4 linked regions of the Callithrix jacchus genome follow. The protein of the gene in region 1 interacts with the protein of each later gene in a biochemical or structural test. Links are inferred from orthologs where the notes say so. Each region holds a gene or a part of one and is shown on either strand. Other genes may lie near its edges.

The links.
Region 2: the proteins of BMPR2 (region 1) and BMP2 form a complex in vitro, tested with the Homo sapiens proteins (4 studies listed by BioGRID and IntAct, with this or other methods). The link is inferred for Callithrix jacchus from reciprocal best matches to the Homo sapiens genes BMPR2 and BMP2.
Region 3: the proteins of BMPR2 (region 1) and GDF2 form a complex in vitro, tested with the Homo sapiens proteins (2 studies listed by BioGRID). The link is inferred for Callithrix jacchus from reciprocal best matches to the Homo sapiens genes BMPR2 and GDF2.
Region 4: the proteins of BMPR2 (region 1) and BMP4 form a complex in vitro, tested with the Homo sapiens proteins (2 studies listed by BioGRID). The link is inferred for Callithrix jacchus from reciprocal best matches to the Homo sapiens genes BMPR2 and BMP4.

What each region holds. Positions count from the first base shown.
Region 1 is NC_133507.1:123,696,640-123,703,936, reverse strand, and holds part of BMPR2 (bone morphogenetic protein receptor type-2), read right to left. Parts: intron 2,854-7,297; coding exon 2,681-2,853; intron 365-2,680; coding exon 1-364. UniProt on the Homo sapiens protein: On ligand binding, forms a receptor complex consisting of two type II and two type I transmembrane serine/threonine kinases.
Region 2 is NC_133506.1:14,042,732-14,050,806, forward strand, and holds the start of BMP2 (bone morphogenetic protein 2), read left to right. Parts: upstream 1-4,077; 5' UTR 4,078-5,276; intron 5,277-6,502; 5' UTR 6,503-6,509; coding exon 6,510-6,855; intron 6,856-8,075. UniProt on the Homo sapiens protein: Growth factor of the TGF-beta superfamily that plays essential roles in many developmental processes, including cardiogenesis, neurogenesis, and osteogenesis. Induces cartilage and bone formation.
Region 3 is NC_133513.1:41,181,045-41,189,094, reverse strand, and holds the start of GDF2 (growth/differentiation factor 2), read right to left. Parts: upstream 5,176-8,050; 5' UTR 4,961-5,175; coding exon 4,615-4,960; intron 2,619-4,614; coding exon 1,684-2,618; 3' UTR 1-1,683. UniProt on the Homo sapiens protein: Potent circulating inhibitor of angiogenesis. Signals through the type I activin receptor ACVRL1 but not other Alks. Signaling through SMAD1 in endothelial cells requires TGF-beta coreceptor endoglin/ENG.
Region 4 is NC_133509.1:88,522,419-88,530,184, reverse strand, and holds the start of BMP4 (bone morphogenetic protein 4), read left to right. Parts: upstream 1-2,826; 5' UTR 2,827-2,831; coding exon 2,832-2,893; exon of another isoform or gene 2,894-3,102; intron 3,103-6,226; coding exon 6,227-6,351; intron 6,352-7,399; exon of another isoform or gene 7,400-7,406; coding exon of another isoform or gene 7,407-7,452; coding exon 7,453-7,766.

The sequences.
Region 1 (7,297 bases):
CCCAATTGATTGTGCAACATTTGTGGCATGCAGATTTGTTTCATCTGGGTATGGCATCTCAGATATAGTGGTCATGCCAGTACTTGGAGTGAGGCCTGTGGTGTTTGTGGTTGTTGTGTTGGTGGAGAGGCTGGTGACACTTGTTTCAGGGCTGGGGATTCGAGCTTGTGCTTGCTGTCGTTCATAGTTAATTGAATTTCGGTTCTTTTCCCCTATAGTCAAAGGTGTGCTGGACATAGAATGCTCAGAGGAAATATTCTTCACAATGCTGTCAGTGTGATGGATAGAGTCTTCAATGTATGAGGAGGAAGAATAATCTGGATAAGGACCAATTTTTGGCACACGCCTATTATGTGACAGGTTGCTTAAAGAAAGAAAAAAAGTGTCACATTGAGAACAGACATTTATGACAAACTGTCTCTCCAAGTTTAACACCTCTGATTTTAAAGTCTGAGCTGTTTTTCATTTTCTTCCAAACATATATTTTTCTAAAGGTTAGTTAAAAAGTCTAATCAAATAATCAAGTATCAATTAATAACTTAAGTGTTAGTTTTAGATGAATAAAGCCTACTGAAAAATTTATGTGAATCAGATATGATTTTTATAAATGTCCATTATTTTGGTTTATAAGAGTTAATTAAAAAATCTCTCCTATAGTTTTATAACATCACAAAATATCTATTTATGAACTGTATATTCATACAACCAGACATTATGTTTTATGAAAGGAAGAATCATGGCATATGTTTCTTTTTTACTTCCATAATTCTAGATGCATAGTACCTACTCAAAAGGTATGTTGTCAATTATCTTCCAATGGCCAAATGGTAAAAAGAATATAAGCTTTTAGGTTGTTCCAAAGGCCTCCATTAAGAGGCATGCCCTAGCAATGGCACATATCTTTCTGGAGTAGTCTGAGCCATTTGAGCAAAAGTCCTTGAGCCCAAGGTATAAGGAAGAATGTGATGTTCAAATAAAGAACCAAAGATTCAGAACTGCTCTCTAATTATCATGGGTTTTTCACTGTCATTGTCATTCCTTGGGAGTGACAGTTATTTATAAGGGAGATGACAGGAGGAAAAGAAGAAAGAGTTGTTAAACAGTACAAGAAAAGGAAGCTAAGGAGACATGGAGGGTAAGATTCAGTAAAATAAAACGTAGAGTTAGAGTAACTATGGGAAATCATTAGTAGAGACCGGAGATGAGAAGATGCATGGAGAAGGTCAAGCTGAATGACATGGGAGGCAAAAAAATGGCCAAATCAAGGTGGGGCATCAAGGGTTTCTTTTCTTACCATTAAAGAAAAGTTTGAAAGCATTCGAAGTAAAAGCTTTAGCTGACTTTTGAGAAAAGTATAAACACCATACTAGAGGACATGGGAAATACAGAGATGAGGGGAGATGAAAGCAGAAGACTGTCCTCAGGTATGTTGAAAGTGAGAAAACTTATGATTACAATTGCCAGTGTCTACCTTTCCTGACTTGCTGATATATAAGGTATAAGTTTATATCTGAAACTAATTTAACCTATACAAAAGTAGTACAAACCACATTTTTTACCTATGGCTAATATAAATAGCTTTCACAAATTAGAACAACAGAAAATAGGCCAGGCACAGTGGCTCACAGCCAGGCACGGTGGCTCACGCCAGCACTTTAAGAGGCCAAGGCAGGTGGATCACCAGAGGTCAGGAGTTCACGATCAGCCTGGCTAACATGGTGAAATCCCATCTCTACTAAATATACAAAATTAGTTGGGCCTGTAATTAGGTGGCTCATGCTTGTAATCCTAGCAACTGGGGAAGCTGAGGCAAGAGAATCTCTTGAACCCAGGAGGGGGAGATTGCAGTGAGCCAGGATTGCGCCACTGCACTCCAGCCTGAGTGACAGAGTGAGACTCAGTTCCCCCTCCCCCCAAAAAAGTTTCAAGAATCAAGTGTATTTTTATTTCAATTTTCGCCAGTACCGCTTTCCTGGATGCCTTTCTGAAAGTTTTAAACATGTATTAGACAAAATGACAAAGTCATAGAAAGGCTTTCTTTTCTCCCAAACATGGAACAAAGAAATACAGACGTAGAAAGTTCCAAATTGTAGTGATTTTTTTTAAAGTCTCTTTATTTAAAACCAAAAATCATAGTTCTAATAAAGGAAATGTCTTATAAAATAATATTCATGATGGAATAGAAAGACCTTTGAATTGCTTTCATGTAGTAGTAGTGTATTCTATAAGAAAGAGTATTAGATAGAAAGTCTAGAAACGGTAGCATCAGTGACAGTCGTTAGATAGGCAAGTTCACAGTTCTATTGACTTAAGGAAAAAAGCAGAGGAGGAAGGAATAATAACAACAAAGGATAAATGAGACAATTTATATAGAAGTGCTTATGAACTTTTAGTTATTAAAATGTTTTACCTTTATTATTGCAGGAAAGTTAGACCATAGAGAAATACTAAGTTCTTTCACTATATTTTTACATATAAAAAAAAATGCAGATTTCATTTTGTACTTATACCAAACAAAAATGTTCAGTAAATAGGAATACTGAAAGACAAATGATAACTTTAGATTGTACGAGGTAATCATTGAACCATTAGGCTGGTTTAACAGTATTTGTTTTCTATTCTTTGTTAGGTCTCAGTTTCTAATACTGATTGATAGATGCCACACCCCTTAGGGTCTTACCGTTCATTCTGCATAGCAGTAGACATTGGATTGACTGTTGGGCTCACAGATTTGTTTCTTTCCCAAATCATCATAAGTTCAGCCATCCTTTCCTCAGCACACTGTGCAGTAAGCCGAGCCTCTGCATCCTGGTCCCAACAGTCTTCGATTGTCTCCTTGAGTGACCTCACTGCCTGTAAGACAAAGTACATGTCAAACTGTGTGTCTTTAAAAAAAAGTATCGAGCTTTTCAGTTCACAATATGAGGTAAAAGAAAAATCAATTTCCCTAACCAGTATTTTACATACAATAACATATTTTAGGCTTCAAGGATTTGTAAAGGAACACATTCTCAAAAGGCGATGAACAAGTAAGCAAGCAAGCAAGATTTAATTTAACTCCCTGAAGAATTATTCACAAAAGTAAACAACAGTAAGTCGCAGATGTTTTTTCAAGGCCACAGGTTTATGTCATTGTTGTTAATTCACAGTTCTGTTATTTCAATCGATAGCCACTAATTCCGCCTCAAAAATAAGTTTTGAGTTTGATGGAATTTGGGGCATTTGGCTATCTTCTATCTCTAGGTGAGCTTTTCTCCTTTTCCCTTAGTTAAGAGTGCTTGGCTAGGCACAGTGGCTCACACCTATAATCCTAGCACTTTGGGAGGCTGAGGCAGGCCAATCACCTGAGGTCAGGAGTTTGAGACCAGTTTGGCTAACATGGCGAAACCCCATCTCTACTAAAAACATAAAAAAATTAGCTAGCATGGTGGTGTGCACCTGTAGTCCCAGCTACTTAGGAGGCTGAGGCAGGAGAATTGCTTAAACCTGGAAGGCAGGGGTTGCAGTGAGCCAAGATTGTGCCACTGCACTCCAGCCTGGTGACAGAGTGAGACTCTGCCTTAAAAGAAAAGAAAAAAAAAAAGAGTGCCTCATTCCAACCTTAAAATTTACAGACATGTCTTCTTTAAACTAGTTCCACAGCAGTAGTATCAAAAACAGTCCCATGCTGTAGTACTCCTATACATTAGCAATGAACAACAGTCTCTCTTTTGGGGAAAGCTAGTTTTAACTCCCTTTTTAAAAACAGACTTTGAATAGTTTGGTAGACTGTCATCTATAATCCCTTCAGACTTGTTTCAATTAAGCTTTAAGCTTTGTGCCTGCTCTGATATTTACATTTCCTGTACCTTTACTTTCTTTTTTTTTTTTTTATTTTGTAGGAAGGGAGGAAGGCAGGAAGGGAGGGAGGGAGGAAGAAAGGGAGTGAGGGAGGGAGGGAGAGAAGGGAAGGAAGGAAATCAGGCAATGAGAAAGACATTGCCAACCTGGATCTGGAGGTCTACAAGTTGATTTCTTTTTTTCTTTTTTTTTTTTGAGAGAAGGAAAGAAAAAAAAGGAGTGAAGGAGAGGAAGAAAGAGGAAGAAAAAGAGGGAGAGAGAATGGAAATGTTGCTTTATTCTAAAAAAAATGGGTATTAATAATGGCCAATCAATGTTTCATTTAAACTTATGAGTAGGTGTGATGTGGTATGGACAAGAATGTATATTTTGTGGATTTGAAGTGGGGAGCTCTATAAATATTTATTAAGTTTACTTGTTCTGGATCTGAGTTCGAGTCCTTGATATCCTTATTAATTTTCTGTCTCACTGAGTCTAAGTCTTTATGTATCTGGGTGTTAGGATCGTTAGCTTTTGTTGTTGCATTGATCCTTTTACCACTGTATCTTTGTTGCTTTAAAATCTATTTTATCCGATACAAGATCTGCAATGCCTGCTTTTTATTTATTTATTATTTATTTTTGCTCTCCATTTGGTTGGTAAATCTTTCTCCATCCCTTTGTTTTGGGTCTTTGTGTATCCTTGCATGTGAAACGGGTCTGGATGTAACATGCCGTTGGGTTTTGGCTGTGTCTTTTGATTGGGGGATTTAGTCAATTTAAATTTAGGGTTACTGCCATTTGATGTTAACTCGCTGTTTGATCCATTCGTTGGTGTAAATTCTTCTTTATGTTGGTGCTCTTTACTTTTTGGTATATTTTGAGAAAGGCTAATACTGGTTGTTTCTTTCTATGTGTAATGCTTCTTTCAGAAGCTCTTGTAAAGCAGGCCTGGTGGTAATAAAATCTCTGAGTTCTTGCTTGTTCATAAAAGATTTTATTTTTCCTTCAGTTGTGAAGTTTAGTTTGGCTGGATATGAAATTCTGGGCTGAAGGTTCTGTTCTTTGAGGATGTTGAATATTGGCCCCCACTCTCTTCTGGCTTGTAGAGTTTCTGCTGAGAGATCTGCTGTAAGTCTGACAGGCTTGCCTTTGTGGGTAACCTGACCTTTCTCTCTGGCTGCCCTTAGTAATTTCTCCTTCGTTTCAACCCTGGTGAATCTAATGATTATGTGCCTTGGGGTTGCTCTTCTTGAGGAATATCTTTGTGGTGTTCTCTGTATTACCTGGGGTTGAATATTGACCTGCTTTGCTAGTTTAGGAAAATTTTCCTGAATAATATCCTGAAGGGTATTTTCCAGCTTGGATTCATTCTCTCCGTCGCATTCAGGTACACCTATCAAACGTAAATTTGGTCTTTTCACATAGTCCCACATTTCTTGGAGACTTTGTTCATTCCTTTTTATCCTTTTTTCTCTAATCTTTTCTTCACATTTTATTTCATTAAGTTGGACTTTGACCTCTGATATCCCTTCTTCTGCCTGAACAATTCGAGTGTTTAAACCTGTGCATACTTCTCGGAGTTCCTGTATTGTATTCTTCAGTTCCATTAATTCATTCATACTCCTCTCTAAGTTGTCTATTCTCAATAGGATTTCATCAAACCTTTTTTCAAAGTTCCTAGTTTCTTTACATTGGGCTACAACATGTTCTTTTAACTCACCGAAGTTTGTTATTATCCATTCCTTGATGAGTACTTCTGTCATCATTGGGATGTGCTCGTTCTCCATCAAGCCTTGTTCCATTGTTGATGTGGAACTGTGATCATCTTTAGAGGGAGAGGCATTCTGACTTTGAGTATTCTCAGCTTTTTTACGCTGGTTTCTTCCCGTCATTGTAAATTTATCCTCCTGTCGTCTTTGAATTTACCAACTTTCAGATTAGGTCTCTTGAGTGGACGTCCAGGTTGTTAGTTCCCAGGGCCAGAGCAGCGTCGTTAAAACTGATGGTGCTTTTCTTCCCAGGATTCTCCTGTCGGGCTTCCTTCTTGTGTCCGTAGTAGGTGACTCTGCCTTCCCGGGGCTCCAAACCTCGGTCAGAAGGGGAACCGTTTACTCTGCGCCGAGCGCTGCCACGCCGAGGTGCCATCACAGCCTCTACACCGGGCTCTGGTGTTGTGCTGGGGACCTGTGCGGGTCCTCCAAACCTGTTTACTCTGCTCTGAGAGCTGCCGAGCCAAGGTGCCGGCCGGAACCGCTGTGCCGGCCACGAGAGTTGCGCTGGCGACCCGTGTGTTTCCTCCACTGGGGATCAGTCGCTCGGTGAACGACCAGAATTTGTCTGAAAGTGTGGCGTCCTCTAGTTCTCAGCGCCTTCACTGAGAGGTGCAATCCCGGGATGTTAGCAATCGGCCATCTTGGATCGTCACCCCTAATTTATTTTTTGAGACAGGGTCTTGCCCTGTCTTCCAGGCTGGAGTGCAGTGGCACAATCTCGGCTCACTGTAACCTCTGCCTCCTGGGTTCAAGTGATTTTCCTGCCTCAGCCTGCCAAGTAGCTGGGATTACAGATACCTGCCACCATGCCTGGCTAATTTTTGTATTTTTAGTAGAGACGGGGTTTCACCATGTTGACCAGGCTGGTCTTGAACTACTGACCTTGGGTGATCCACCTGCCTCAGCCTCCCAAAGCACTGGGATTACAGGCAGGAGCCACCACACCTGGCCAAAACTCCCCAAATTTAGTAAAATAAATAAATCTAGGCTAGGTATGATGGCTAACACCTGTAATCCCAGCAGTTTGAGAGCAATCTGGCCAATATGGTGAAACCCTGTCTCTACTAAAAACAAAAAAATTAGCTAGGTATGGGGTCAGGCACCTGTAATCCCAGCTACTTGGGAGGCTGAGGCAGGAGAATTGCTTGAACCTGGGTAGTGAAGGTTGCAGTGAGCCAAGAGCCGAGATCATGCCACTGCACTCCAGCCTGGGTGACAAAGTGAGACTTAGACTCAAAAAAACAAAAAACAAGAAATGAATCTACATATCCAATATCCAAAAAACTTGATGAATTCTAAGTAGGATAAACTCAGAGTTTCATATTGAGACACACTACTATTAAACTGTGAAAAGCCAAAGATGAAGAGAGAATCTTGACAGCTAGAGAAGAGATCTGAAACATACATGAGATCTTCAATAAGATTAACAGCCAATTTCTTATCAGAAAACATGGAAGCCAGAGGCAGAGGTATAACATACTTAAAACGCTGAAAACAACAACAACAACAACAACAAAAAAAAAAACTGTTTACCAAGAACTCTATAGCAAGGAAAATTATCCTAAACTAATGAGGTAGAAATTAAGGTATTTCCAGATAAACAAAAACTGAGATTGGGTATGGTGGCTAACACCTGTAATCCCAGTACTTTGGGACGCTGAGGCATGCCACTGCATTTCAGCCAGGGCAATAGAGCAAGGCTCT
Region 2 (8,075 bases), on another chromosome or scaffold:
TAGGGCCATGAACAGTACTGGTCCATGGCCTATTAGGAACCCCCACGGGCAGGTGAAGAAGCATGACTGCCTGAGCCCTGCCTCCTATCAGATCAGCAGCAGCATTAGATTCTCAAAGGAGCTAAAACCCTATTGTGAGCTGTGCATATGAGGGATCTAGGTTGCATGTTCCTTATGAGAATGTAATGCCTGATGATCTGATGTGGAACAGCTTCATCCTGAAACCGTCTCCCTGAACCCAATCTGTAGAAAAATTTTCTTACACAAAACTAGTCCCTGGTGTCAAAATTGTTGGGGACAGCTGCTTTAGATTGGCTGACCCAAGTGGTGACCTTTCTGATGAAATACCCACTGTTTGGCAATATAATAAAAGCTGGGAGAAGAGGAGAAGGAGGAGAGGAGAAGGAGAAGGGAAGGAGAAGAAAGGCATCCAAAGTCCCCTCGTAAAACCAGGCCCTATTGCAGGCAGAAGGCCAAATAATACGTTTGAAGATACACAGAGTGAGCAGCAATCAGAAACTCTCTAAGTTCACACATGTTGTCCATTTGATCTTCATCATGTCAGTCTGAAGCAAGTGAACATATATTTACCCCAAATAACAGACGAGATGACGGTTTTAACGTCAGTCATCCATGGCAGAACCAGGAATTAGAACCAAGGTCACCCAACTCCGAAGTCTTGAACTATGATCAATTACAGACATAAATTAATGTGTACATCTTAAACTGTGTGACAGTCTAATCAATTCACAAAATTCGTTCTTCTTAATCTTTAAGAAGATGTAATTGGTACTTGCTGAAAGCAGTGATCCTGAGTTGGCCAACTTGGTCTAATTTTCTAGATAAATCACTTCACTTCTCCCACCCTCTCTACTATGTCTAATCAAACACCCAAAAGGAAAACATTTGATTGACTAAATGCTTTTCTTTTGCCTTGGCTCCAAGTTCTTGTGATAAAAACTTCATTCACCAGCACAGTGGTTCATGCCTGTAATTTCAGCACTTCGGGAGGCCAAGGCAGGCAGATTACAAGGTCAGCAGTTCAAGGCCAGCCTGATCAATGTGGCGAAACACCTTCTCTACTCAAAATGCAAAAATTAGTCAAGTGTGGTGGTGCACACCTGTAATCCCAGCTACTCAGAAGATGGAGACAGGAGAATCACTTGAACTTGGGAGGCGGAGGTTGCAGTGAGCTGAGATTGTGCCACTGCACTCCAGCCTAGGCGAAAGAGTGAGACTCAGTCCCAAAACAAACAAACAAAACAAAACAATAACAACAAAAACTTCATCCAGGTAAGTAAGAACGGCTGGTTTCCGGTGTCAAACTTGTAACAAAGCGATATGTATGCTAAAAAGCAAAGCGTATTTCTCAGGGCAGTTATCACAGGTTTCCATGGAATGACAATTACAAGGTAGATGGATCATGCAACGCCTGCTGCGCACTTTAGAAGACTATTTTAATACTGATTTGCATAATGGTTGGCCTGGCAAGAACAATGCTGAACGCCATGGCTACAGAATGCAGTCCAATGGAATATCATGTGAGCGGAAGTGCTAAAGTAAAAGTTGCCAAAGTGTGACTGTAAACCCTTCATTTCATCCCGAGTTCTGTCCACACACAATCAAATGCAAATTCGCACCGTTTCTTGAGAAACTGGCAAGAAGTGACTGAAACGGAATAGTAACGACCTCCTTAGTGTGGAATCATTATCTGGTCATCTTTGCTTTTATACATAACTTGTCTGTACCCTCTGAGGCATTTGAGTTTGCAACCTCTATCCCTTTCTTAACAACTCCCCACTCCCACCTTGGCCCCTCTCCACATTTGCTGGCAGATACACCAAATCTGATAACTCAGGAAGAATGAATGTCACCCTCTCAACTGAAAAACTTTGAATGAACCTTTGAAAAAGGTAGAATCAACAACGGTTAGCAGCAAGTGATATTTTCATGGCAAACAGACACTCTCCCAACGTATTAAATAACCCAGCAATCTAAATTGCAGGTGGAAGGTAGCCATTAGTGAAGAGAAAAAAAAAATAGTTCGTCTCTAGTTAGATTTATCATTTCTGCCTATCGCTCTTCCCTGGAAAATGGGTAGATACAGTCAGCCTGTACTTCGCATCCCAAATACAATCTTTGGAGATTATTTATTTATTTATGAACTTCTTTCTTTCAAGCGTTCGAATTCATTTTCACCACAAGAGGGCAGCCATCTCTTAAAAAAAAAAAAAAAAAAAATGAAGCCTTGGTTTTGAGAGAAATAGGGCCAAAATTTAGGTAAGTTGTGCTTGGGACAGGCATTCAGTAGTTCCTCAGAAGTCACACACCCTACATAAAAGAGGTTCTGCAATGGGCAACACCACCATGAAACAGTGCTCGGAATTACCCATTTTCCCTTAGATTCTAAACTGACAAGGTTTCCACTTACCAAGTTACGAAGTTCTAAAGCTGCAAGACATCCTTGATGTCATCACAGGACATTTATTTTTTACTTTTTCTCCGGGGACATTCAATAGTTATCAACTTTTCCTCCTCTTTAAAAGCTACCTATTGATTGAAGTCTCATAGAGGTTTGGTTTGGTTTTTGAAATCTAAGTAATGACAGAAACAACAGTTAACTTCTCAATTAAACTTGATAGGAAAAAAAGTAGTTTCAGAAGCCCAATAAATACTTTTTAAACTGTGTCTATATGTAGAATATGTTTTATTGGCTACTTGTTTGCTGTCCAGTGACTTAGAGTGACAGTCAATTTCTATAGCACCTTCCCCGTCCCCCCCAATCCCCCCCCGGGCGCAAGAAATAAAGTAGCATGTTCCTGAATAACTCCCCCCACCTCTCTTTTATTTTCCTGGTAGGCAGGCTTCCTCCAAAATACCTTATTTGACCTTTATACCTTTAGAAACAGCAAGTGCCTAATTCGCCTCTGTGGGTTGCTAATCCGATTTACGTGAGCGGAACCTAGAATTATTTTAGTTCCCCCACCGAAAAAATAATACACATGGATAATAGTTTTATTACCAGCTCCCGATTCTGACTTTTTTCTCTGTGTTTTGCAAGCCCAATAGCTCTGGGAAAGCAGAACCTGGCCTTTACCAAAAATTTCTGCCCTTGGTTTTGGGGATCATTTGGGCAACCCCGAGGTGCTGTGCAAGGGGGCTCCTGGAATCCTGGGAAGGGTAGAAACCCTTAGCCCCAGACTCACGGTGCAGCAGCTCTGAGAATATTTCAGCTGAGGAGTGAGTTGAGTGAATATTCAGCTGAGGAGTGATTTGGCCACGTGTCACAGCTCTACTTCTTGGGGGCCTGGTGGAAGAGAGTGGAGTAGAAGGTCCTAAGGTCCCAGACTGGAATTGTCCTGTATGCTTGGTTCACGCTATGCATTGTTTTACCTTCCTCTGAGCTGCTAATCGCCTGCCTCTGAGGCGCAAAGATACAAGGATATATTTATATAAACATACATTTACATGTACATGGATATGAAAATAAATGCATACACATATTTATGTAAATGGAAATTTGTACACATGCATTTACATATGTAAATACATACATCTCTATGTATTAATGTTTAAAAGTACTCAATTTCCAGCCTCCTGTTTCTTTTAATTTTCCTCCTGTTCCAGGGAAACAGAAGTGTGGATCCCACGTCTATGCTATGCCAAAATGCGCTGCAATTGAGGTGTCCTGTTTTACTTTTTGAAATCGTGTATTACCGAAAAACTTCAAACTGAAAGTTGAATAACGGGCCCAGAGGGGAAATAGAGGCCAGACCCTGACCCTGCGTTTGTCCTGGATTTCGCCTTCAGAGTCCCCCGAGGGTCCGGCGCGCCAGCTGATCTCTCCTTTGAGGGCAGGGGGTGGAGGCGCGAGCGCCCGCCTAGGCGGCCGCACGCCCCCGCCCTCTGCCCCACCCCGCCGCGGCTGCCCGGGCGCGCCGTCCACACCCCTGCGCGCAGCTCCCGCCCGCTCGGGGATCCCCGGCCCGCGCCGCCGAGGGGGAGGTGTTCGGCGGAGGCCGGGAGGGAGCCTGCTGGCGGCGTCCCCTTTAAAAGCCGCGAGCGCCGCGCCACAGCGCCGCCGCCGCCGTCGCCGCCGGAGTCCTCGCCCTGCCGCGCTGCGCCCGGCTCGCACTGCGCTAGTCGCTCCGCTTCCCACACCCCGCTGGGGACTGGCAGCCGCCGCTGCACGTCGACCGCCACAGCGTCCGCCAGCGACCCTAACGCTCTCGGGGCCAGCGCCGCGCAGATCACCCGGGGGGCGCGAGGCACCCGCGAGTCGCAGACCCCGCGCGGGCTTGAGCACCCGGCCGAGCGCGCCACAGCGCCGTGGCCTCGGCTGCCCGGGCTGCGCCAGAGCCGCGGACGGGCGCTCAGGGCGCCGGGGACTCTGGAGCCGAACCCGAGCGCCGCGATGCGGAGCACCTCCTGCCGGAGATCGGGGGCCTGGGACGCGCCGGCCGAGGTGTGATCGGACCCCAGGCTAGCCACAAAGGGCTCTTGGCCCCCAGGGCTGGGAGAACGAGGGGAGAGCACAGTCACCCACCTCGGCGGCCCGGGACTCGGCTAGACTCGCCGAAGAATGAGCCCGAGGACGACGGGGCGCCTGAGCCTCGGTGCTTTCGACTGGCGAGCGCGAATGGGGGTGCATTGGAGTAAGGCAGAGTGATGCTGGGGGGCAACTCGCCTGGCACCGAGATCGCCGCCGTGCCCTTCCCCGGACCCGGCGTCGCCCAGGATGGCTGCTCCGAGCCATGGGCCGCAGCGGAGCTAGCGCGGAGCGCCCGACCCTCGCCCCCGGAGTCCCGGAGCCGGCCCGCGCGGGGCCACGCGTCCCACGGGCGCTGGTTCCTAAGGAGGACGACTGCACCAGCTTCTCCTTTCTAGCTTTCCTTCCCTTCCCTGCCCCGCACTCCTCCCCCTGCTCGCTGTTGTTGTGTGTCAGCACTTGGCTGGGGAGTTCTTGAACTTGCAGGGAGAATAACTTGCGCTCCCCACTTTGCGCCGGTGCCTTTGCCCCAGCGGATCCTGCCTCGCCACCGCCACCTCCGAGCCCCACCGCCCCTCCACTCCTCCGCCTTGCCGGACCCTGGGACGCTGTTCCCAGCGTGAAAAGAGAGACTGCGCGGCCGGCATCCGGGAGAAGGAGGAGGCAAAGAAAAGGAACGGACATTCGGTCCTTGCGCCAGCTCCTTCGACCAGAGTTTTTCCATGTGGACGCTCTTTCAATGGACGTGTCCCCGCGTGCTTCTTAGACGGACTGCGGTCTCCTAAAGGTAGAGGACGCTAGCCAGGGGCCGGGGTGGGGGTGGGTGGGAGGGGGATCTGGGCAGTCACTGCGGCAGAGCCCTTCCTTATGTCCAGGCCAGAAGTAAACAGACCCCTCTCCAGGTCCACGTGCACCGGAGCCCTGTGGGGGTGCCCCCTTCAAGCTGCCCCGGGAGACCATCAGCCTCACCCTCCCAGCCCGCACTCTTCCACCCCTCTTCTTTCCCCTCTCCCCCGAATACTTGTGAAGCTGTTAACACTTAAATGAATTTTTTTTAAGAGTCAAGGGTCAAGGAAATCCCTTTGAGAGGGTAGCCCCTGGCTTTCACCCGTTAGCTGAGAACCTGTCCACCCTGCCGTGGTGATCTCCCTTCTTCAAGTGTGGCTGAGAGACTTGGTTTCTTTACACAGAGCCATGTCCCATTTAGGAAAGTACTAGGAGTTGGGATTCTCCCTACTCGTTTCCAGAAATGCGAGCAGTCGGTACTGAAGGATCGCTTGGTACTGTGTTTTTAACAGCTGACACGTGCATTAATAGATATTCGCCATTTACGTAATCCCAGGAAGATACATGTGTGTCTTACCTGTACTATGGGGATGCGGGATTGAGTGGCCTCTCCAGACACCCCTGAGGGTAGGGACCTGGGCCACAAGTTTTAAGTGGCTTTGGAAGTTGTGGCCTTGAGCTTACAGGGTCTGGAAGTTATAGGCTGTGTGTGTGTGTGTGTGTGTGAGTGTGTGTGTGTGTGTGTGTGTGTGTATGAGGAAGTTCTATACAGCGCCTCTAAGGAAATCACATGCACCATTTGCATGTGTTTATATGCCAGAGAGCGCTGAGCACTATGCATTTGGGTTTGTATAGGGGACGCAGGGTGTCAGACCAAGCGGTGGTTCTCCCAGGTTCCCTGCACTGACTGTCAGCGCTGTGTCACAACAAAAAGGTGACCATCATTGCAGCTGGTTTGGTTGGGAGGGGAGGGCAAACCCCAGATCTGATGTCAGACGAGTTAAGAGTTGGATGGGAGCGAGAACTCATCTGGTCCTGGAACTTGGGACCTTTCATTATCCCAAACATTTGAGCCTTGGTCGGTCTTACGTACACTCGCGAGTGTGCCAAGCCAGGAGGGCACCCTGGAGGAGTCAAGTTTGCCAAACGGGAGCCGGGGCCGCGGGGGCGCGAGGGGGGAGGACTGGGCGGGGAACTCGGGGTGACTCACGTCGGTCCTGTCTGCAGGTCGACCATGGTGGCCGGGACCCGCTGTCTTCTAGCGTTGCTGCTTCCCCAGGTCCTCCTGGGCGGCGCGGCCGGCCTCGTTCCGGAGCTGGGCCGCAGGAAGTTCGCGGCGTCGTCGTCGGGCCGCCCCTCGTCCCAGCCCTCCGACGAGGTCCTGAGCGAGTTCGAATTGCGGCTGCTCAGCATGTTCGGCCTGAAGCAGAGACCCACCCCCAGCAGGGACGCCGTGGTGCCCCCCTACATGCTAGAGCTGTATCGCAGGCACTCGGGTCAGCCGGGCGCACCCGCCCCAGACCACCGGCTGGAGAGGGCAGCCAGCCGAGCCAACACTGTGCGAAGCTTCCACCATGAAGGTGAGGCGCGGAGCAGGGCGTGGGGGCGGGGAGTTACCCTGCGAAGCCCTCCACCCAGGGCAGACTGCAGCCATCCCTGCAGAGGCAGCTTGGCCAGGGCACCGGGGAACGTTTCCACTCTGGCTTCTGTACCATCGTTTCTGAACCTGATTTTAACTCATTGTAACTCATCGCTTGTGTGGTGGGGGAGCCAGGGATTCCCCTTGAGTAACTCCGCCACCCTCTTCCCTGGCTTGCGGCCAGAAGAGTTCCTCCTCCCAGGAACTGGAGAGAAATCAAGTGATGGGGAAGATGAGGGCAAAAGGCATGCCCCTAGTCAGCTAAACGTGCAAGAATTCCACAGAGAGAAAAGGAGAAAAAGGGAGGCAGATTGACATTTCTTTAAGTCTGTTTGGAAGCTTTTGCTCTATAAATCTGCTGCTTAAGCCAGGGTTTCAGGCTAGACAGAGCCAAGGACAGAGTTTGCAGAGATAGTATTGAAAAATCAAAGCCCAAAGTCTTTCTAATTTATAGTTGATCTGGGCCTGGTTTGGAAGATTTTGAATCCCGATCTAATCCCCGTGGGAGATCAATTCTACAATCAATCTTATTGTTTCCACAATGGCTTTCTTGTCCTGTGCTTAAATCTGAGATAGGCCCTGAGTAGAGACAAGGCAAGCCTTCAGATAAAAGCATTTGTAGCAGCTGCCTGTTTTTTTTTTAATGTGCACTGAAATGTGGATTTTTTTTTTCTTTTATGATACTACATGTGGTTTTTCTAAGGTGGGATATATCTGCTTGTTTCATCAGAAGGGCATTTTGTCGAGTGGGAATGTCTTACAGCGGCTATTGAGAGCCTCTGTACCTAAGTTCTTAGAGCAATTAGTCAAAAATATGTTCCACTCCAATTCTTTTTCTACACTTTTAGATGCTTCTTTGGCTTAATACATTTAAAATAGAGCATGGGTTTCTTCAAATCCCAGAAAAGAGTACAAAGTTGTACATCACAGAGCAATGAAGGATATTTGGGGAGTTGGGAGTGAAGCTCTCTTTCTTGCCTTTCCCTGCTTAGGTGGTAAGTTTCAGGTGGGAAATCTACACCGATAATAGACTAATCAGAAATGGCACAGCCAGATGTTTTCTCCCAGTGTGAAGAATGACTTATGCTTGTGAGAACATTTGTTGGTAATGGAAATAAGTCCCAAAGGCAGGCCACATAGCAGAAGATACATTATCATTGA
Region 3 (8,050 bases), on another chromosome or scaffold:
CCACACTGCCCGGCATGTGCCAGAAATTCATGTTTTCTTTAACACCAGTAAGTAAACCAGAATGTTTCATTGTATTTTTGTGTTAAAGTTGTTCATTGGTTCCATGTAAACATTTAACATAATGCTTTCCCATCCCCTCCCACACACACTGTTTAAAAAAAATAAATGGGAGCAGCCCTGGCCTCTCTAAGCCTCCCCTAGGCCCTGCTCTGGCTGGAGGTCAGAGGGCCATGGGTGCACTCTTCACTACTTTCAGAATCTTCCTCATACTGCCCCATTCCATGTGTGGCCAGGAGATTCGGAGGAGAGGGTGAAACACTGAGCAGGTGGAAGGTGCGTCCTCCCTTGACTTCGTGGAGCCTGGGTCTGGTCCCAATCCAAGCTCAGGCAGGGCTCTGGGATGCACATGCATGACTCAAGAGAGCAGGCAAATGCAGGCAGAGCCAGTGATTGCCCATAAGGACTGTAGCTCTTCTGAGGCTGGGGAGGCCTCCTCCAGGAAGGCTGGAGTCTTGTCACTTGAGGACATGTCACCAAGGCATTAAACTAGGAATGTTTCAAAGACCAAAGCACGAGCACATTTAATTCCAACAAATTCAAATCCAGGCCTGTCTCCCATGGGGTTGTCACTGGGGACACCCTGGATACCATATGCTGGTGATCTGGCTATGCTGAGTAACGGCAGAGACACCGGCCCCAGGTTGCCCCGTCCCTCAAGGGAAAGTGTGGCCCGCCCTCTCAAACGGTCACATGGTTTCAGCCATGGACGGCGAGTGGTCCCGTGTGCGCCATTGGCCGCAGGAGCACTGCATGAGGGGGTCATAGTGTATCATGCAGCCCACAAGGCTGCTGTCCTGACCTCTCTGTCTGTCCTGCTGTTGGCCGGAGATAGTTTCTCAGTGCCTCAGAGGAGATATTAAAAAACATTTGGCCACTGAGTGAGCACTGGCAACAGTGGCCAGACCATGCCCTGGATGTGCCAAGCAGCCCAGTCACATTTGTGACTGATGAGCCTCAGCCCGGCCTGGCCTGAACACTCCTGGGCTCCCAGTGACTCACTGCTCTTTAGCTAGGGAGGACCTGCTAAACTGCAGCGGGGCACTTGGGAAGATCCTGGGCTTTGGGGTTCCACAGAGCTGGGTTGGAATTATGCCATTGATCAATGCTACTTCATGTGCCTGCGTTTTGGTCTCTGTGTCTCTAAATTGGAAGCCATGCCCCTCTACCTGGGTTGTGGGAAATAATGTGCAGTGATGGATGTGGAGCATGGCCTGCTCCTTCCCTCCACTCCGCAGGGTTTTGGAATGAGCCCGCCCTCCTCCACCTCTCTAATCTCCATCAGTCTCTGCAGTCACCTGCCCACCTGTGCTCCTCTGGCTCACTGCTGCTCAGTTTTCTGCTGACTCTGAAATATTTTTCCCCTTGTCTGCTTTTTGTCACCTCCTTCCACCCCAACAACCCTCCCAGGCTTTCCTGTTGTGCTCAAACCCCCATTTCCTTAGGGTTCCCTGGCAGTTGAATTGGTGGTGTGTGCTTTGGGTGGGGGATGGGGTGGGACAACAGGCTCCCTTTCCCCCTCCAGGCTGGCATGCAGATAGAATCAGTCCTTGTTGTGCCCAGGGGGATGCAGGACCTCTCGTGAGGAGCCCCTTTCACCTGCCTCCCCAGCCCCACAGGCAGGTACTACCTGCACCCACACTCTGCCACACTCATGCCCTCATAGTGGTACTTGAGGGTGGGCACCCCCATGTCATCCTTGTAGAGGACAGAGATGGGGCTCAGTTTGGTGGGCACACAGCAGGCCTTGCCCACCTTTGTGGGGAACTTGAGATGCACCAGGGTCTGCACAATCGCATGTTTCGTCGGCGTCACGTCATCGGCCAAGGGAAAGAAGCAGCCACCCTTACACTCGTAGGCTTCGTACTCCTTGGGCGCGATGATCCAGCTGTCCCAGCCAATGTCCTCAAAGTTCACCAGCAGAGAGGTCTTCTGACAGTGGCTGCCCGCCCCGGCACTCCTTTTCCGTCTGGCTAAAGTTGGTCCTGCAGCCACGTGGCTGTCCTCGCGGCTGCTCTCACCTGCCTCTGTGGAGCCATCCTTGGACAGCTTCTTGAGCACGCTCTCTTGCTCATGGCCGATCATCTCCCTGAGCTCCAGCCTGGCCTCCTTAGCCCCGCTGCTGTGGTCATTGGAGAAGACGACAAAGAAGGGCAGGTTTCCAGAACCTGGAGGAACACTGATGTCCAGCTTGTCACAGCCCTTCCTGTGACTCTCCACAGTCACTTCCAGCTTATTTTTGCTCTTAGTGGAGTCAGCCCGGACCCAGCGCTTCACGGCGCTGGACACTTCCAAGGTCTCCCAGCCCTCATCCCGAATGTCCTGGGACACCAGCAAGTTCTTGGTCCCGGCAGCACTATCCCAGGCATCTGTTCCATCCAGAACATCGTAAATGACCATGCTTCCTTTCACGTCGTGAGAGGCATCCACGTGATTTTGACAGGAGACATAGAGTCGGAGCTCGGCCCTGGTGATCTGCTCGTGCCTGGGAATGGAGATGTTGAAGAGCAAGATGTGCTTCTGGAAGGGGAAATCCTCCGTGGCAGTTACCGAGATGGCATCTGAAATGCAAACATACCTGGTGGGCATCTGCTGGCGGCTCTGTTTCTGTGACCTGAAGCTAAGTCTCAGGGTTTAGACAGAAGAACATCTGGGCTAACAGTTTTGGTCTCTAATCTCTATTTGGTTTCACCCAAGCCCTTAAGATAGAAGGGTATTTTGAAAGGCACATTTAAGATCTTCCAAAGAAAAGCAAAGGCAGGAGATGCCTCCAACTGAGACTGACAACTCCTACTGTTTCCCGAGCATCTACTATGTGACAGGCATTACACGGGAAGCTTGGCAGAATACATCTCACATTAATCCTCACACTCACCCTGGGAGGATCTAACTATTATTCCACGTTTACAGATGTGGAGACTGGGACTCAAGGCTACCAAAATGCACACAGCTAGTTAAGTATCCTGGCACTTAGTAGCACACAGATAGTTGAGTACATAAAGAAAGCAGCAAAACTCACTGTCAGGTCCTGAGTAAAGATTCTGAGTGTATGAATTTAAAGGAGAGATCCTGGGTGGGGACAGGAAAGCTCAATATTAAGACAATGTTAAAAATCTCAGCATTAGCTGGGCATGGTGGCGCGCACCTGTAGTCCCAGCTGCTCAGGAGGCTGAGGCAGGAGAATTGCCTGAATCCAGGAGGCGGAGGTGGGCCAACATCGTGCCATTGCACTCCAGCCTGGGTAACAAGAGCGAAACTCCATCTCAAAAAAAAAAAAAAACAAAAAACAAAAAACTCAGCATTTGCAGTGTCTAAGTTGTCTGGAATTGTAATTTCCAAACAAAGTGAAGGTGGACGGTCGTTTTCAGGGCTTGAGGGAAAAAACCTATTGGCTTAAATTGCTTTGTCATGTCAATCAAAAATGGGGCTTGCCTTTTAGCCACATAGTTGTCTCAATTTCCCATTGATCCTGGGCTGACACTTTGTCATTAGCATGCTCCTGCTATACCGTGGCTGGCTCACAGGCAGGGGAAAGTTTGCATTTTTTGAGCACTGGCTGTGCCCACATGTGTGGAGACCCTGTGCTGTAGGGAAATCCAGCCGGCAGGTTTTGACGTTCCAGTCCTGCCTCTGCAGACCGGTTAGATCTGGCCTGGCTGTGGTATGGAGCTGGGGCCCTTAGCCATTTGCAAGTCTCAGACCCAGGAGGGGAGAGGCCCTGTGCTCCTGGACATTCAAAGGGAGAAAGCAGCAGCAAAAGCCAGCTGTGCAGGCAGACAGGCCTAGGTCAGAATCCAGTGGCTTAACACTTCTTAGGAGACTTGGGTAGATACCCTGGGTGGCTGCAAGCTTTGACTGAACAGTTTCGCTGTTCAGAAACTCATTTCACCTGCATCATGTGAGCTTGACTGAGTTAGGACATAGGTTCTAGGTCCATGTTTGTTATCTTCCAGTCCTTCTAAGTCAGACATGTTTCTACTTAAAAACGATTAGGTTCTCTTCCAACATTTCTCTGTTAAAGAATTTTATCTGATTTTTAAAACTCTTTCACAAGAAAGGAATAGATGTGCTTTCAAAGTTTAAAAATATACAAGTTAGTTGGGGAAGAAATAGGTTGTCTGATCTGTTTTGAAGTAGGAAGAGGACAGGAAGTGAAGGGGGAAGGGAAGAGAAGTGAATCAGAGCAGGGAGATGGAAAGAAGAGGAGAGCAAAGGGAAGCGGGGGAAAAAAGGGGAGCTGGCATCCCTGTGCACCTGCTGTGTGAAACATGACACACAGCCCAGAGAAGGTGAATCCTTCAGAGCAGAGCGGCCGAGTAGCACTCTCAGTGACAATGAAAATGTCCTGCAATCTGCTCTGCCTGATAGCAAAGCCATTAGCCACACATTTGAAAGGAAGCTGGTGAGGCCAAAGAACTACATTTTAATTTTAGTTCATTGTAACTAATGTAAATGAGTTTGAAGAGCCTCCTATGGCCAGCAGCCTCCACGATGGTCAGGGCAGCTGTGGACCTGTGAGCCCCACCCCAGTGCGCCTGATGCAAGCAGAGACGTTACCTTCCATGCTGAAGCTCCGCACGATGTTGGACGCTGGCGTGGTTGACTTATCGGACATGTACCTGTTGTACAGGTCGATCATGTACTGCGGAGGCTCCACTCTGGTTTTGTCCTGCGAAGGGACCCCGCTCAGGTTAAGGCTGCGTAAGAAATCCACCTTCATGTTCTCCAGAAACAGCTTCAGGTTGAAGGTGTGCTCTGGCAGCTCACCTCCAGGCACCCGCAGTGGGCTGTGGGCATTTCCCCCAGCAGACCCTTGTCCCCAGCTCTGCAGTGGCTTCCCCTGTAGGGAGCCGGCCAGCAGGGACAGCAGGGGCAGGGCCACCCACAGTGCCCCAGGACACATCTTGGGCCCACGCAATTACCCAGAGAGGAGATTGCAGGCAGCCGTGCCGTGTTAGCAGGCTCGGGGAGGAGCTGGGAAGGAGCAGGCGGGCATCTCCCTGCTGTTTGCTCTGAAGGAACCGTCCTGGCCAGTGCCCACTCTTGCCTGCCGCCAGGCTGGATTGTCCTCTACTTGTGCTAATTTGGTCCTCGATGCCTCACTCCACCCTCTTATCTGAGGGAGCCCTTCGTTAATGAAGGCTCTATAAACATCTGACAAATACACAGGGCATGTGGGAAGGACATGGCCTACTGTAAAGAATCTGCGCTTCTCCTGGGGGTTATTGCCCCCTAATTAGGATCCTTTCTCATTTCCTTGCCAGGGCTGTTCAGAAGAATCTCCAGGCAGGGTGACATATACTCTATCTCCTGGGCCACAGGAGTGAAGAATCCAGGAAACAAGACCAGTAAGTCCTCTAAATAAAGAAAGGGCAGTGCAAGATCACAGTGAACCGTGGAGGCTGGGGAGATGGGGGTAGGGTGGGGACCGCATCAGAGCTCAGAAGAGGCCTGCTCCTTGTAGAGTCAGAACCTGTCAGCAAGCCTCCCTGCTCTGTTGGTGGGATACATTGCTGAGCATTAGAGATCACGGGTGAATATGGCTCCCGTGCAAATTAGTGTGGTGATGAGTCCAACTGGACAGAGGCTGGGATCTCAGCTCACCAATTGCCCACCAAGTGACACCTGGAGAAAGTCACTACAGCTCTCGGAGCCTCCCATTCAGAAGACAGCTGTAGATGGTTAAGAGGATGCTGTGCCCCAGGCTGGCTTGGTGGCTGTATTCTGGCTGCCGCATCTCTAGCCCAGGGCTGACTGAGCTGGAGATGGGGGAGGAAGCCCCAGATTCCCCTGGCCTGCTCTGGGGGAGCTCCACAACACACTGCAGCCTGTGGGGAGCTCCTCACATCCCCACATCCCAGCCCTGTCGCTGGTCTGTTGTGACGTGTCTTAGCTAACATTGACCTGGCAGACACCTGGGCCACACTCATCAGCAGGGAGAACCACGCAATCTGATACACAGGGGAGTAGGTGGGTTGTTCAGAGACTGGTACATGCCAAGAAGATGATCCCCTGGCCTATGGAGGCCGACAAGCTGCGGTCCAGGCAAGGGACCCAAGGACTGCGTTAAGAGCAATGTGTCCACACTTGGACTCTGTTTCCATCACGTGGGGCTTTGAGCAAAGCAAAGAAGGAGCATGGTCAGAAATACTCCGGGGTATGGTGTGCCTGGTGGTTTACTCTGGGAAGATGCTCCACATGGTGAGGCTCTGGGGGAGAGGTTGCAGAGAGCTGAGCAGGTTCAGGGGGTGCAGGAGGGGCCACGGCATGCTGTGGTCAGAGATTGCAAAGGGGGATGAGTGAAAGCAGGAACCCCTGAATGGCCAGACCTGGATGGAACTTGCTATCTCTGTCATTTAACAACGTGGGCAGGGGAAGAGAAGGTTGTTGTTTCAGAAACGCTGCTTGGGAAGATGACTGGAAGTGTGCTGGGCTTTGCTCCAGCCCAGTGCAAGAATTCCATGGGGAAAAGAAAAGATGAACAAATGGGTGCCATGCCCAAGAAATGGAGCTGCAAATGCGAAGGAGGGTGTGGTCTGGGAGGAGTGAGAATAGGGCAGATGCCTGCAACGTGCTCCGGCCAGGAGCCTTTCACAACCGAAAGGCTGAGCAGAGGGATAGCCTAGTGGCCTGGATGTGCACAGGGAGGAGCAAGGGGCTGCTACCTGATGTTATTTTTTAACTGTGACTTTTTTTCCCCTGGTTATAACAGTAGTCTGTAGCATAGAAAACTTGAGAAATGGAAAACATTATTTTTTTTGAGACAGTGTTTTGCTCTTGTTGCCCAGGCTGGAGTGCAATGGTGTGATCTCGGCTCACTGAAACCTCCATCTCCCAAGTTCAAGTGATTCTCCTGCCTCAGCCTCCCAAGTAGCTGGGATTACAGGCCTGCACCACCACTCCCAGCTATTTTTTTTTTTTTTGTATTTTTAATAGAGATGGGGTTTCACCATGTTGGCCAGGCTGGTCTCGAACTCCTGACCTCAGGTAATCCTCCTGCCTCAGCCTCCCAAAGTGCTGGGATTATATAAAGGCGTGAGCCACCATGCCCAGCCGGAAAACATTATTAAAGAGAAAATAAAAATAGCTTACAATTTAATCATCCAGTGATGTGCACAGCTGCATTTTGAGACACCTCCAGCTCCACAATCCTATATCTGAAACCCTTCTGGCCAGGAGTGTGTTGAGACTCTGATAGCTTCAGATTTGGGTGATTTTGTATTGTGTATATGCAATAACATCTCCAAAGGGGTCAGAGAAAACACCTCATAATGACACACATGAATATTTCTGCAGTGAAACCATTAAAGACACAAATGTCATTCAGGTCAAATTTTCCCAGAACATGAATTAAAAGAAACTGTAGGTTCTCTGATAGTTTTGTATTTAGGGGATCTCAGATGAAAATGAATTAAAAGAAACTTTAGGTTCTCTGATGGTTTTATATTTGGGGGGGTCTCAGATGAAGGACTATGGACCTGACTGTATCCAGCGTCATCACAGCTGCCTGTGGTGCTGGTCACAGTCTGACATGGGTGGCTTTCCCTGGAGCTGTACAATGCAACATGCCACTGTATATCTGAAACAATCTGATCTGCCTCACGAAAAGCAAGGTATCAATATGTTCACATCTCTTTTATTGTTTTTAATGGATTGCTTGAGTTTTCCTGATCCATATTAGCAGGAAGTCCAGTCTTCTCCTTTCCCGAATTGTCCAAGTGCCCCACAGGGCAATAAGGCCAAAGGAGATGGGGTGTGAAGGTGTGAGTCCAGCTTCTTCCTACTGGGAAGTGGGAGGGAGAGAGGGGTCCCTCCTGCTGTTGCTTCTCAACACCACTAGCTTTGCTGTTGGGCACCAGTCCTACATATGTAAACAACTGTTGTTCACGGCTGTTGGGATGCCCTCTAGCCCAGGTCTCTGGGGTGGCCCCCATGTGGCAACAAGGTAACAGTGTTCACAGACATGTGCCAGGCTTACCCATCTCCAGCATGC
Region 4 (7,766 bases), on another chromosome or scaffold:
TAGGACAGGGCGAGGCAATCTGCACTGTATCTACACTTTCACCCTACTCTGAGGCTTATTGTCCTGATAACATACTTTGAAAAAGGCTGTCCCAAGGGCTCGCGGACAGGCTATTGACCAGCTACTCTTTCTTAATGCTCTCCAGGAAAAGCCCAGCAAACAAATGCCCTCCATTCAGCAGTAGCACCATAGGAGCAATAGTTGCTCCTGCATTATGGTGGGTTTCTCCTCTTCATCAATATGCTTTAAGGGTACAGTTTCATTTGGTCTATCGACGACACTCTATAAAAATGTGAAAATTCACAGGTAAGCTTGAGCTAGGGAAAAGGACTGAACTGATTCTTCTCACCAACTCTGATCACTAGGCTGTGGTTGATTTAGCTCTCTAACCCACAAGTAATTTGTTTTTTGGCATGAGTAAGGGGGGAGAAGGAGGCGTGGGTAAAAGCAGTTGATAACAGATGGCTTGCACCCATCTAAAATGTGGAGAAAGAAAGCAAGCTGTCCCAAGAGAACTAAAGCTGAGTTCTCTTATCACATATCTGAAGATTCATATCAGGGTCTAAACAAAATATGTCAGGTAGCTTAATTGGAAACTCCCGGACTGTGAGTGTCACAGACTCATGGATGGGCCAATCAGTGGCCACTTTATTGTCTGGGCTGCAGCAAAATGAGACAATAGCTGTCATTCAAATACCTTTGGGATTAAAAAAGCCCCAAAATGACATTGGTGCTTTAAAATAAAATGAAGTCTTGCCTTTAAATACAACATATCGCTGTTGTTTCTGAGTTTAAATATTAAGAAACACTTTTTAAATGATTAAAACAATAGTGGTTGATTGAGGGGCTCAATGAGCATTTAATCTGTCTTTACTTCAGGTACTGTGCTAAAGGAGCACGCTGCCTGATGCTGCAGGAGGTTCATTAGGTAACTATTTAATGGAGTTTTAATTTTCTGTAGTTATTTTTAATAATTAATTGTCATTTTGAGTATTTGGAAGCTGGAGAGATATTTTGTCATTCTTTTGGGGTGATGTTATTGCCTGCCCTATTTTAATCAGAGGTTCTTAGAGGAGGTGGACTCAAGAATGATTTAAAATAAAACAAGATGGATGTTGGCTAAAATTACAATTAAATAATCAAATCATGTTCACATATAAAGGGAGCATGGAGATGATCTGGCCCAATCCTTTCATTCTGCAGATGAGAAAATGGAGACTCATAAGAATGAAAGGACTTGCCCAAAGCCAAGCAGCTTGTTTCCGTTGTTTGGTGCATTGTAAGGCCAGGAGACCACACTAGGCCTGGACAAGATGGCAGGACTTCTTGGCCTTGGTCTTACAGTCGCTTCTCTGATCTCAGGTATTACCCACCCTTTGTAATCTGTGTTCCACACTGGAAGTAGTTCTTGTTTTTTCAATATTGAAGGTGTATAAATGTAAAGTTTTTATAGATACGCCACTCAGAGACCTAGTAAATTTAGTAAAGACCTAAATGCTTTGTGGAGACAGTAGTGTCATGTCTGTCCCAGGGAAAGAAATCCAGGACAGGAAATGCTCAGTTCTCCAGCACTCCCCTGGCTACCTGGAGCTCAGGCGGTGAGCCTCAACCCTGCCCTAAAGCATTAGCTCTGGAGCAGAGGCTGTGATTTACTTCAGGGATCTGGGCAAGTCCCTTTAACCTGGTTGTTCTTCCCTTCCTTGTTTGTAAAACAGAGATGAGCCTGATAGCTCCCTCACAGCTCCATCAGAGGCAGTGTGTGAAATTAGTTACTGTTTGGGAAGGTTTAAAAGCCACCACATCCCACCTCCCTGCTAATATGATTACTAAAATGTTTTTATATGAAAGGGTCAATTCCCCATTCCCCCTTTTCCTTTAAAAACAGACCAAAGGGCATCTTTTCTTGTCTCTCTGTGGCCTAAAAGGTTATTGCTTCTGCGGTGATTTCCCTGGAAAGTCAGAGTGTCAGGATTCTGAGGTACACCAAAAATGAACAACAACAAAAAAATCAACAACAACCATAACACCACCAACAAAAATAACTGCAGTGCAGGTTCTTAAGAGGGCTTCTGGGCTAGAACCAGATTTTTCTAACTGTAAAAACGTGGCCCCAGACTGTCTGCAGGCCACCTCTTTAGGCCTGGGGGAGGAGGGAAGTGAGCTCCTTTACTGGGGTCTACCTGAGGGTCATCACCAAGGCTTTCCACAAAATGCACTTTAAGAATGTTTTGGAAGGAAATTCACCTTTTAAAAGCCGAAGAGGTGAAGAGGTATCTATCTCTGGCACACAGTTCTGCACACAGCCTGTTTCCCAACGTTTGGAAATCCTTTAACAGTTTATGGAAGGCCACCTTTTAAACCGATCCAACAGCTCCTTTCTCCATAACCTGATTTTAGAGGTGTTTCATTATCTCTAATTACTCGGAGTAAATGGTGATTACTCAGTGTTTTAATCATCAGTTTGGGCAGCAGTTACACTAAACTCAGGGAAGCCCAGACTCCCATGGGTATTTTTGGAAGGTACGGCGACTAGTCGGTGCATGCTTTCTAGTACCTTCGCACGTGGTCCCCAGGTGAGCCCCGGCCGCCTCCCAGAGCTGGAGGCAGCGGCGTCCCAGCCCTGACGGCAGCTGCGGACTCGGGCGCTGCCGGGGTTTCCGGGACCCGGGCCTGCTAGGCGAGGCCGGGCGGCTGGAGGGGAGGATGTGGGCGGGGCTCCCATCCCCAGAAAGGGAGGCGAGCGAGGGAGGAGGGAAGAAGGGAGGGGCCGCCGGGGAAGAGGAGGAGGAAGGAAAGAAAGAAAGCAAGGGAGGGAAAGAGGAGGAAGGAAGATGCGAGAAGGCAGAGGAGGAGGGAGGGAGGGAAGGAGCGCGGAGTCCGGCCCGGAAGCTAGGTGAGTGTGGCATCCGAGCCGAGGGACGCGAGCCTGAGAAGCCGCTGCTGCTCGGGCTGAGTATCTCGCCTGTCTCCCCGATGGGATTCTCGTCCAAGCTGTCTCGAGCCTGCAGCGCCCCAGTCCCCGACCCTCGCCCAGGTTCTCTGCAACACTTCAGAGGTCCCCAGGAGCTGCTGCTGGCGAGCCCGCTACTGCAGGGACCTATGGTGAGCAAGGCGACCTGGTGAGGGGAGTCAGGCAGAGGTCTAGGAGCCTCCTTGGAGGGAAGAAGCTGGGGGCTCAGGCTATGACCGAGGCAAAAGGTGGCCTAATTATTTTCTAATAGTGGTGCAGGAGGTAGGGATGCTGGCGCTGAAAGACATTTAAATTTTGGCTACTGCCCCTGCCCAGGCCTTCTCTGTCCAGCAGTCCCTGGGAGATTCCCACCTTTGGGAGGTGCGGGGCAGGAGGGCAGAAACTGGAGAAGCCCTTGGTAGGTGAACGTTGGAAACAAAAACTGTGGGGTCTTGGGCTGAACGCGTTGCCGGTGGGCTGGAGGTTGCGATCCTCGGACGGAAAGGGTGGGAGGAGGAAGGCAAGAGCCGGCTCTGAGGTCCGGAAAGAGTGAGGGGGCAGAACGACGTCGACAAGGGGAGCGAGCACCTAGCTGGAGGTGTTTCTGGGGTAGGGAGCGCAGTCCTGCTGGCCTCTGGAGAGTGCGCGCCGCTCCAGAGGCTTTGTCGAGGGGAGTGTCACCCAACCTGGCCCCCAGCTGGCGGGGCGCCCCGAGAGCTTGCGAACTGCATTTGAGGGACGCGCCTTCTCCACAAGCTATTTTCGTTGACTTGCGGAACCCAAGGAGCCTCTCCTCTATCATTTCACGGTGTAGGGTCCGTAGGGACGACATCCAGGATGCCAGGGGCTCCCAGGACACGTTCCTGTGGTGTCGTGTCCTATGGGGAGTTCCTGGCGGGACCAAAGGCAGACTCGCGGCCCTTCCTGACCCTCCCGGTCCGGATCCGACGGAAAAGGATCCCGTGATTCCCCGGGTCCCTGCAGACTTCTGCCAGCGGGAGTTGGTCCCGGGGCCTCAGACGCCTCCTAGGCACTGCTTTGGAGGATGGTTTGCAAGGATCGCAGTTTATGAGTTGAAGGCTTTGTGAGACGTTACACCCCCAAAAATACATACTTGGTAAACACCTCTAAACAGTTTTCGGCGTTAGGAAAAGATTCGGGAAGGGAAGTGAAGGACAATCACCCTGAGTTCCACACCTTTCCCCTAGGAAAGGGTGCTGGGGATGAAAGTTCTTTTGGCTTTTATCTTTTGAATTTAAAAATTTGAGAAGAAAAATGTGATGAGAGATGAATCCTGGTGAATCCTAAATTAAAAGACAAATCCCTCTTCTCCCTATTCTCTCAGTTGTAGAACCGCGAGCTCCCGCCCTAGGAGATTCCTCAGGGCCGAGGGTTGTCCGGGGATTCCGGGTGCCCGCCCCTTCCACGGTCGCTTTGCTCCGCGGGCACCAGGTTGCCTCCTTCTGCTTTCTCTACTTCTGGAGCTCCCCTCGCTGGGCTTTTTAAAGGGCTTCTGCGTCTCAAAACAAAACAAAACAAACCCTTTGCTATTCCCAATCCTTTCGCAGTCCGCCCCAGCGGTGGCGCGGGATCAGAACAGGCGAAAGCCGTACGCTCTTGCTGGGCGCGGACTGTCGCGCAGGGGCGCCCGCCGCCTCCGCACCCGGACCGGAGGTGTCAGTCCGCGCCGGGCAACCACGGCCGGGAGGGAGAACTGAGCTGCTCGATCCTTTACTCTTCTTCCTCAAAGTCTACCTACAAGTGCCCCCAAGAAAAAAACTAAGTGTGTGCATGGAGAGTGGGGCGGCAGGCAACCCGAACCCTCGAGCTCCGAAGCGACCCAAAGCAGCAACTGGGAGCAGCCTCAGGAAAGGGAGGCCGGGTAGAGTGGGCTTTGGGGCAGGAGTCGTGGGGCTCGGGACCCGGGGGCGACCTGGCGCGCCGGCCCCTGCTGAACGCTCAGTTGCGCCGGGTCGGGTTTTCCGAGAGGCCCTTGAGTTGAGCTACCCACGCGCGCGGCTGTATCTTCGATTAGGCAGGGCATCCCAGTAATTGCTTGAGTTGTGGGTAGGTAAAATTCTTGGAGTATTTGCTGCGACTCTGCTGCTGGTGCAACGGAGGAAGGAGGTGGGGGAAGGAAGTGGCGGGGGAAGGAGTGTGGTTGTTTAAAAAATAAGCCAAGCCGAGGCGAGAGAGACGCAGACGCAGAGGTCGAGCTCAGGCCCAAAGCTGTTCCCAGTTTTCTCGACTCCCGGGAACAAGGTGGGATTTCCTTTCTGCGCGGGGTCGGGAATTGTAAAACCTCGGCGACTTTAAGATCTGAAAACTGTGATGCGTCCTTTCTGCAGCGACGCCTTTCTGAATCTTCCCGGAGCTGCGAGTCCGGGTGGCGTCTGTCCCTCCGCCTGGAATGGCTTCTTCGCGGGTCTGCTTTGCCGGGGGAGACGGGCCGTGCAGCGGCCGATTCGGTGCGGGGATTCTCCGTAATGGTCCCGGAGCATACTAGTAACCGTTCCCCCTCACTTTCGCACAGCGATCACCCTCTAACACCTCCCTGCACCCCATTCCTGGCCCCATGCGTGACAGGGTTGGCAGCTTTCAGCCGGGAGCTAGATCGGTGGCCCGGCTCGTCCGAGCCTTAGCAGGCGTGACTGGCTGGGGTCACTGGCTGTCATTGGGAGCAGTATTTGGCCTCGCGGAGACCCTAGGGAGGAAGCGGCGGGGAGCGCGCTCGCGCACGCGCGCGTGTGTACACGCGCGTGTGCAGGGTCCCTCGGCGCTTTCCTTTTTAAGTGCCTCTCGGCGGTGAGGCTTTGGGGGGCGGGGGTGAGGCTCTCCCGACCCCGCTCCCAGCCCCACTTAGGCGGGGATAGAGCTGCAAGACGCAGCCCCTTCAGTGAGCCCCACATCCTCCGGCTTCAGGCTGCCTGGCCCGGGGCCCAGCCCAACGTACAGTGCGGAGAACCAGGTTCTCAGCGCGCTGCGCCCATAGCCCGGGAAGCTCGCCGGCGGCCGGGCACCGGCGGAGGGCTCTGCGGAGCGCCGCCGGGAGCTCCTCCCGGACCGCTGAGGCTCAGGCGGCGGGCGCGAAGGTTGGCCTCGCCTGGAGGGGGCGGACCCGCGAGGGGCCGGGGACTGTGAAGGAGGGGAGGGCGCGCGGGCCCTTTCACCGCCCTCTGCAGGAGGGGCCTCAGCGCTCACGTGACTCCGAGGGGTTGGAAGAAAAACAGAGCCTGTCTGCGCCGGAGTCTCATTATATTCAAATATTCCTTTTAGGAGCCATTCCGTAGTGCCATCCCGAGCAACGCACTGCTGCAGCTTCCCTGAGCCTTTCCAGCAAGTTTGTTCAAGATTGGCTGTCAAGAATCATGGACTGTTATTATATGCCTTGTTTTCTGTCAGTGAGTAGACACCTCTTCCTTCCCCCTCCCGGGAATTAACTCTGCCCTCACCACCCCTGCTCGCCGGCTGTCCCTCCCGTCGGACCTCCCTTGCAATGTCCACACTCCGCTCCCTGGCAGCACTGTCGCTCCCTTCTTAGCCCGGTAGCCAAGGCGCTCGAAGCGTACCAGTTCCTTTTAAAGTGCTGCTGGTGCACACTCGCCCTCTCTGGATTGCAAGAAAGGGGAGTGAGAGGGGGCTGAAGAGATGAAAGCCCGGGGTTATACCAAGAGGGCTAACCCCTCCCTTCTCCTACCCTACTTGCCCCGGGGAGCACCCAGTGTCTCCGTGGCACGTTCCCAGCCTCTTGTCAAAACTCACCGAGGTCTCCGGAACCGTCTCTCTTCCCTTCTCTGCGGGTGAGCGACCACGATCAGGCGCTTTTGGCTGGAGCATTTCAACCTGATCGCCGCAATAAAATAAGCCCTCAAGCCACTCGTTTAGTTCCCAGACCACCTTCTCGGATTCCGGACCCTGTCGCCCTCTATCTTCGCCCAGCCCCTGCCTCTCACTTTCCCGCCCTCTGGCTGCGAACCAACTGGAAGTTGTGAAAGTTGGGCTCTGAGGGTGGAGGAAAAGGGAGAGAAGCTGAAGGTCTAAAGTGGAGAGCAATGTCATTTTAATTCTCCCTCCCCCACCCCTTTTTACCCCCTCAATGTTAACTGTTTATCCTTGGAGAAGCCACGCTGAGATCATGGCTCAGATAGCAGTTAGGACAAAAAAAGATTAACAGGATGGAGGCTATCTGATTTGGGGTTATTTGACTGTAAACAAGTTAGACCAAGTAATTACAGGGCAATTCTTACTTTCAGGCCGTGCAGGGCTGCAGCTGGTGGGTGGGGGGGGGGGTGTGGTGTGGGGGAGAAGACACAAACTTGATCTTTCTGACCTGCTTTCCATCTTGACCCTCCATTTGTAGCCCTAAATGCATATGCAGAGACATCACTATTTCTCCCTATTTATTGTGTTTATTTATTCTCTAACCTTCCACCCCCTCCCCCTCCCCAGAGACACCATGATTCCTGGTAACCGAATGCTGATGGTCGTTTTATTATGCCAAGTCCTGCTAGGAGGCACGAGCCATGCTAGTTTGATACCTGAGAACGGGAAGAAAAAAGTTGCCGAGATTCAGGGCCACGCGGGAGGACGCCGCTCAGGGCAGAGCCATGAGCTCCTGCGGGACTTCGAGGCCACGCTTCTGCAGATGTTCGGGCTGCGCCGCCGCCCGCAGCCTAGCAAGAGTGCAGTCATTCCGGATTACATGCGAGATCTTTACCGGCTTCAGTCTGGGGAGGAGGAGGAAGAGCAGTTCCATAACACTGGTCTAGAGTATCCTGAGCGCCCGGCTAGCCGGGCCAACACCGTGAGGAGCTTC